2 linked regions of the Ovis aries genome follow. The protein of the gene in region 1 purifies or fractionates together with the protein of each later gene. This does not show direct contact. Links are inferred from orthologs where the notes say so. Each region holds a gene or a part of one and is shown on either strand. Other genes may lie near its edges. The genes, in order: CABIN1 and UBN1.

Region 1 (3,803 bases):
CTCCGTTTCCCTTGGGAGTGGCCCCTAGCACTCTGAGCAGCTGCCGCTGCCAGTAGGCTTCGCTGCTCTCGTTCCCATCTGCAGGGTGTGAGGGTCAGATTTCGCCATGTCCTCACCAGTCTGTGAAATTTCTGCAGATTTCACACTGGTCTGCCTGCCTCTAAGTTTTTCCTTTGTATTCCGCATGGGTTTTTCTTTCACATTCCCCTCTCGCCCTCCAGGCCCCTGCCTCCCCCCCCCCCCCCCCCCCCGCCTGCACCCCGGTCTTATCGCAGGCCTTCCTTCTTCACCTTCCCCATCTGGGCGGCTGACCTGGTCTCTACCTGCTGCCTGTGTTTCCATTTTATTCACCTTTTGAAGAAATAACTGTTTGTCAGTCTACTACTGTGCTGAGCAGTGAGCCCCGGGGTTGTGTCAGGCTCTCTCCGCCGTGTCCCCAATTGTCTGGCCAGGGCGGGCGCTCTGTCCCTAGGCCAGGGGCTCCCCAGGTGGCAGACTGCTGAGCCGTCTGAGGCACGCTCGCCTGTGTGCCCGGGTCCCCGGGCCCGGCTCTTCCTGGCCCCCCTCAGCCTGTCCTGCTCCCTCCCCCAGGAGCCGAGCGGGCTGGCCCTGCCCACCGCCACTGCCTGTGCCAGAGGCTCCAACCATGGTATGTGCTGGTGCCTCCCTCCGGGGGGAGGCGGGTTCTTGGGGGCCCTGAAGGCTGTCCGAGTAGGGCTGTGGGCACCTTCGAGGGTGTGGGTGTCCGCCCTCCTGTGGGTGGTCGGCAGGACCGCATCTCTGTGGCAGAGAGACACAGCCCGTGTCATTGGAGGCTGTTTTTCTGGTGCCTGGGTCTTCTGCTGCGTCAGGCCTTTCTTGGGTGTCCCCAGCCTGGCCCTTCTGTAGTGGACACATTCCCTAAGCAGGTTGGCGTGGTCCCTGCAGAATGCTCCAGGTCCCCTTTTCCCTGAGTGGCCACCTGCCATTCAGCCCCACATCTGGGGAGGCCTAGCTGTTTGAGGCCGAGTGTGCTACAGAGAGCTGTGCGCCTTGTAGGTTATTGATGAGATGAGCCATGTTTTATCTAAAAGCAGCTCTTCTCCTCCCTCACACCTCTGCCTCTAGATTCGAATCGCAGCCTTGAATGCCAGCTCCACAGTCGAAGATGATCATGAAGGAAGCTTTAAAAGTCACAAGACCCAGACAAAGGAGGCACAGGTGTGTGGTCACGGGCTCCTCTGCAGCTGGCCCTGGAGTCTCCTTTCCCTCCTGGGCTCTGGGCTGTTCTGGCTGACGCGGCCACCCCCCAGAAGGTGTCAGCGGGGCTCCTGGAACCTCGGCCTTGCTCAGGCCGAGCCCTCGGCTTGCTGCCTGCTGGTGCCCGGACTCAGCTGAGCCCACCTTGCTTGTGTCCACCTGGGGGGCCGCTGAGCAGTGAGCCCCTGGGAGGGTGGGGCCTCAGGACCGTCTCCACCGCAGCGAGACCGGCTCACACGGTCTGGAGTGCAGCCCCCACACGCACGGTCGGCTTGAAGAGACACACCTCTGTGCTCTCGGAAAACGCTTCCCGTCTTGGCTTTTCAGGAAGCAGAGGCTTTTGCCTTGTACCACAAGGCCCTGGACCTGCAGAAGCACGACCGATTTGAGGAGTCCGCCAAGGCCTACCACGAGCTGCTGGAGGCGCGCCTGCTGCGGGAGGTGAGTGCGCCGGGCTTTCCCACGTGCGGAACGCCCTCCTTGCTGCGGTGCTCCAAGGTTGGGCGAGTCCAGAGACGCGCGCGTCACAGTCTGCCAGCTGCTGCGCTCTGTCCGCTCTCAGCTCTCAGCGTGGAGGCGGCCGTGTGGATGGCTCAGGGCCTCCTGTTTTGGGAAGCGGCAGAGCACACGTAATGTGAGCAGCGGTCTGGCCTTTCTCGTCTGTGTGCTCAGAGCTGGGGTGGGGGTGGGGCTGTCCTTGAAAGACCCCCAGGGCCACACTGTTCTCCAGTGGAGGGTGGTTCCGGACTGGCCCCAGGCCTGCATAGAGGCCGGGGCCCTGCTGATGGCCTGCGGAGGCTTAAGGCCTGGCTCTCACTTTGTGCCTCTCTGCCGCGTTCCCAGGCAGTTCCGTCTGGCGATGAGAAGGAGGGGCTGAAGCACCCTGGGCTGATGCTGAAGTACTCCACGTACAAGAACCTGGCGCAGCTGGCCGCCCAGCGGGAGGACCTGGAGACGGCCATGGAGTTCTACCTGGAGGTGCTCCCCGCGGGCCTCAGGCAGCCCCTGGGGGCCGCGTGGCTCCCCAGTCATCCCTGGGCACTCTGGGCAGCGGGGATGGTGCTGTCCCCTCGGACGCCTGCTGGTGAGGGCGGGGTTCACTGAGCACGCGTCTGCGGCGCTGCTTGCAGGCAGTCATGCTGGACTCCACGGATGTCAACCTCTGGTATAAGATTGGACACGTGGCCCTGAGGCTCATCCGGGTGCCCCTGGCTCGCCACGCGTTTGAGGAAGGGCTGCGGTGCAACCCTGACCACTGGCCCTGCCTGGACAACCTCATCACTGTCCTGTACACCCTCAGCGACTACACCAGTGAGTGGGGCGCGGCTGAGTTCTCCTGCGCGCGCTGCGTCGGCATGCGGGCGGGTGGGCGGCTTGGCTGAGCTCGGGGCCTGCGCTGACGCGCAAGGGCTGTCTGCCCAGCGTTCAGGGGAAATGGAGGTGCGTTTGCTTCCCCGCTGTGCTCTGCTCGCTCTCCTCCTCAGTCGCGGTCTGCCGCTGGCGCCATGGTGGGAAGACGGGCTCCCTTCAGCCTTCCCCCCAGCGCCGCTGCTCCTGCCCCAGGCCTGCTCTGCCATTTGCTAATGGGCGGTCTGGTGGCTGCAGTCTCGCTCCCAGTGCCGGAAGCTCGCTTCCTCCTCCTCGCGGCTTATCATCCCCCCCTAGAGCAGCGTGGCTGCTGGAAACACCTGTGCCAGGTGGAGCCCCGTCTGCCTTGTGGCGGCGCCCCTCGCTGCTCTGCCTGGCCCTCTGCTCTGCAGGGCACATATGGCCCCTTGTGGGCCATCCCGAGGCAGGCACTGACGGGGTCCTGGGCCTCCTGGGCCAGCTCCTCCTGGCGGCTATGCAGGAGGGCCCTGGGCAGGACAGGGTGCAGGGTGGCTGGCCTTGGGCACAGACGCACACCAGCGCCCAGCCTGGGTGAAGGTTTCAGCCGGGAGCTCCTGGCTCTGACGGCTCTTCCCTTTCCAGGTGTGGGTGGGGCAGGACAGGGTGGCGGAGGCTGGGAGGCTGGGCCTACACCACTCCCTGGCTCCGTGTGCTCGAGCCTGGTGGCAGGGGCCAGCTGCTGCTCCCTTCCATGTGGTCACTGCCCAAGGCAACCCCAGCCTCTCTCTGGGTCCCCAGAGCCCGCTCAGCCACCCCTGCCCCTCCAGGCAGGGCCGGCATGTCTCGCGGCCCCTGCTGTGGGCCTCTGCTGTCCTCTTCTCTGCGCGGCCCGCGGCCTCCGCCTTTGGGCCTCTGCTGTCTGTCCTCTTCTCTGTGCGTCTGGCACCGCCCGCTCGCTCACGGGCTCTCCTCCGGCGCGGACCCTCGCGTCCCGTCGTCGCAGAGTGTGTGTGCGTCTGTGGCCCTCTGTGCGCTGCCCGTTTCCCCGTTTTGACTCTGGCGCTTGCATCTTCCCTGTCTCCCTGGGCTCGTCCTGGAGCTCGAGCGCCCCCTGGAGGCCTGGCCTTCAGTATCTTGCCATCTCTGCGCCCCGGCTCAGGCTCTGCACTTGGTAAACCCATCTTGAGCGGAAGACGGCCCTGGGCACTGAGTGGTGTGTGTGCCTGTGAGGGCCG
Region 2 (3,803 bases), on another chromosome or scaffold:
GCCAGATCACGCTGATTTACAATAGTTCCAAGAGCCTTTTAATGAGCTCTTTATTCATTATTAAGAAGAGCCACTTCTAGCCTTTCAGCACCTAGATCACAACTTTATATACTGTACCTGCTTTTGCCGAATAGAGTGAAATCTGGTATGATTTTCTTGACAAAGACCAAAGCAGTTCGTTTGTTCTTAGGGTGCACCGCAAGGCGTGCAGGATTTTAGCTCCCCGACCAGGGGTCAAACCTGTGCCCCCTGCACTGCAAGTACAGAGTCTTAACCACAGGACCACGAGGGAGGTCTCAAAGTTGTTTTTTCCTATCTTATTTTCTGTGAATCGGTGTCTCTCTAGTTTTGCAATGCAAGGGTTCTAACTGTACAGAAGAGTAAGCACTGAGCAGGTAGAAGGGTGGGCAACATGTGTCTCCATTTCTTTTCTATTTTTAGTATCACTATCCTTTCCATTTTATGCTTGAATGAAGAGAAAACAGACACGGGTCATCTGCACGGAGCAGGGTGAGTACCTGCCAAACTCTATCAAGACAGTTACATATCAAGGGGCAACGTTACCTGAGCTTTCCAACCAGCAAGACAAAAGACACAACCAACACATATTAGGAGAAGACAGACAGGGGCAAGGCCTTCAGGTCAAACCATGGGCTCCCTGGGGCCCGTGAACAGGCACAGCAGAGGGGAGCAGAAAGCGGAAAGTGGGCTCACAGCGCTGGAGCGCTCCCTCTCAGAATCTCTCCTTCACACATGGACACTTTCAAATATATTTTTCGAAGTTTTAAGAATAACACCTAGTTAGAAGACAAATCTTATTTTCGCTTCCAACTGCAAAACATTTTTCCCTGGGAGACTGATGCACATCACGTTAGAATCTGCTTCAGTACCATGGGGGACTGCAAACAGGACCACGGACTCTTCCCGTCCCGGGACGGGGCATCCCCATGGGAGGGGGCCGCTAGCTGGTAACTTGCTTTCCCAACACAGTGTAGCAGAGGTGCACACCACCTCAAAGGCTAGAGCATGAGGGTCTTCTGGCTTCCACCTTCACCCTCTTGAGATACTACCCCGAGACTGTCCTGCCCAGAATGAGACGGGAGAGGCCCTATGGTCCTAGCTATCCCAAGGCCCAGCTATCTCACCAGCTGAAGGCAGCCCCGAGAGCCACCACATGTGTGGGGTGGGGTAGGGTGGGTTTAGACACAGTAGCAACTGATACATGTACCCCCTAGGGCCAAGATTTAAAATCTCAACAAAGCACCACAAAAACAAAGCGACGAGAAAAAAAAGAAAAAGAAGGGAGTGAGAAATAAAGTGAGAAACATAAACACTGCCAACGTTAGTTAGATGCATCAAGCTTAATTTAAATAGGAAAATAATGTCCAGTTCAAGATCTAGGACGAGGCTTCTTATTAATGATCCAAAGATCCCCGTGTGACTTTTGAAAATCATGTGTCATTTCTGTGTACACAGGCGTCTTTCCCTGGGAGGAACCTCTGCCAGCAGACTCTCACAGCAGGGCCTGGGGATAGAGCGCCTGTGCACACGTGCAGGCGGCGCCAAGTGCCCCCAGCACCAGGAGCCTTCACAGTGGCATTAAGTCACTTTCTAAAATAAGCCTTCTTGTTCATGCAATCATTAAAAATAATGAGGGCTTTGTAATGATATTTATTAAGTGAAAAGAGCAGAAAACAATTATTCACGACTATAATTACAACTGCATAAAAACATATACACAGAGGCTAGAAAAGAAAGTGAGTTGAAAATAGTTTTCAGAGCGGCAGGATTTTCCCAATTTCCCAAGTTTCCTAATGCTGCCATTGAAGGGCCAGGTGATTGGCTGAAGTAACAGTTTCACACGTGAATATATGTTCAAGCCAGTACAGTGACGTACAGTCACCACCTCCTCACCAGGACCTGAGCCTACCTTACCTACGGGCTCCTGACTTGCCTGCATCACGCCTGAAAGACGACCGAGACTCGGCAATTCCCGAGGAAGGAGAGCCTGCTCGGCATCCACCTGATGGGCTCCACAGAGTAAGGTTTTCTCAAATCATGACCCAATGCTGTTCCACATGGAGCCGCTTTGTTTCCACCAGACTTGTCCATCCTTCCCAAGAAAATGTAATACTGAGTCTCAGTTATCAGACTGGGACACCCCCGCACTGGCAGCAGGGACGCACCCAGAGCCACTTTAACTTTCCTCTAAGGAATGACTGGCCTCTGCCACACACGTCTGACCTGACTCAAGGCTTTCAGGAGCTACAGGATAATCTGATTACATACCACAAGACTGAAAAGGGGTAATATTTTTTTTTTAACATATATTCTGAGAGCAAGCACAGGACAATAAGCTCATACACACGAAGTTCAGATTTAACTACTTCTACCTTAATATCCTGTTAAGACAGACCCTGAATCCTGACAGGGCATAATTCATTTAAATGGGTACATTCAAACAACACTGTGTTCATTCCACAAGGATGAACAGAGCTCTGAATAAGACGTCTGAATTATTTCACATGCCTTGATCAAGTATTTTTTGCAAGTGAGAAAATCATTTGCAGAAGTGGTTAACGTTTTATCCTGCCCTGGTCCTAGTGTATATGAGGACTAGTATACACAACAGAGATTCTGAAACACTGAGAGTCACTGGTTTGAAACCTAAGCTATGGAGTATAAGTGCCCCCAGGGCTGTCACAGTCAGGATGTCCAAGGTGAAATGGTATTTTAACTGAAATACACTGTAACTAATGACCCGTGCTTGGCTTAGCATGGGTATTCACGGACCGTGGAGTTTACAGCCTTTAGTGCTCTAGTACTAGCTCAACTCCCCATCCCCAGGGGGAAAACAGGAGGAATGGCTGCTATTTTCCGAAGACCGTTACTGCTTTTAATGTGGGGCTGTTGGACAGCACTTATGGTTCAGCTCTTCTTACTTATCACCATTCCAGATTCCTATAATCACTACCTAACACTAAACCCAGTGGCAACTAAGCATATGCCCCACGCCCAACATGTCTGCAAACTTCTATGAATGTTCAAAACCTCCAGATTACTAAAGAGATGGATCTCTGCCCCAGCTGCCTACTGCCAACATGAATATATGTCACACAAAAGGAAAGAGACTCTGACAGGCACAAAGGAGAGAAAAATCTCTCCAGAAGCAAATTTTCCAGACGTGAAGGAATCACAAAAGGACAGGCAGAGCTGACCCTGTGCCCTTGCTTGGGGTGGGAAGAAAGCCTGGAAAAGCAGACACTAGGAGCGCCCACTGACTAAGGGTTGCTCTGGGCCATGAGCTGCAAATGGTTCGGGACCAGCAACGATCCGCCCAATCGCTTCCAGGAGAGCCCAGCCACTCCATGTCACCATACCTGAGCCAGCTCCTTAACGCGCTTCTCCAGGGGTGCAGGCAGGCCTTCGGGAAGGGAAGAGGGCTGCCTGAATTCCTGGTCCAGTCCCACCCCAAGGGAATCGCTTTCATCATCCATATCGCGGAAGGGGCTTCCTTCTGGAGACTCACTGAGCAGCTGCTCCAAGTCCAAATCCGTCAGCGAGTCCATGGCGGTGGCCGCCTGCAGCAAGTCATTGTCAGAGGCAGAGCCGAAGAGCGAGAGCAAAGGGTCGGAGGTGCCTTCCAATTCCCGCAAGCCCTGAGCTTCTGCTGATGACACTGCTATGGGCTTATGTTCTTCGTCCCTCTTTCTCTGAGCCTCTTTCTCCTTTTGGAATTTCTTCAGCATCTCTTTAACACTCAAAGCCCCAGAATACTTCTTTTTCTTCTTCTCCTTACTGGC

The links.
Region 2: the proteins of CABIN1 (region 1) and UBN1 purify together in Homo sapiens (affinity purification with western blotting; 6 studies listed by BioGRID, with this or other methods). This does not show direct contact. The link is inferred for Ovis aries from reciprocal best matches to the Homo sapiens genes CABIN1 and UBN1.

The regions. Positions count from the first base shown.
Region 1 is NC_056070.1:71,394,844-71,398,646, forward strand, and holds part of CABIN1 (calcineurin-binding protein cabin-1), read left to right. Parts: intron 1-591; 5' UTR 592-646; coding exon 647-649; intron 650-1,107; coding exon 1,108-1,200; intron 1,201-1,566; coding exon 1,567-1,680; intron 1,681-2,082; coding exon 2,083-2,217; intron 2,218-2,369; coding exon 2,370-2,550; intron 2,551-3,803. UniProt on the Homo sapiens protein: May be required for replication-independent chromatin assembly. May serve as a negative regulator of T-cell receptor (TCR) signaling via inhibition of calcineurin. Inhibition of activated calcineurin is dependent on both PKC and calcium signals.
Region 2 is NC_056077.1:4,495,305-4,499,107, reverse strand, and holds part of UBN1 (ubinuclein-1), read right to left. Parts: coding exon 3,381-3,803; intron 1-3,380. UniProt on the Homo sapiens protein: Acts as a novel regulator of senescence. Involved in the formation of senescence-associated heterochromatin foci (SAHF), which represses expression of proliferation-promoting genes. Binds to proliferation-promoting genes.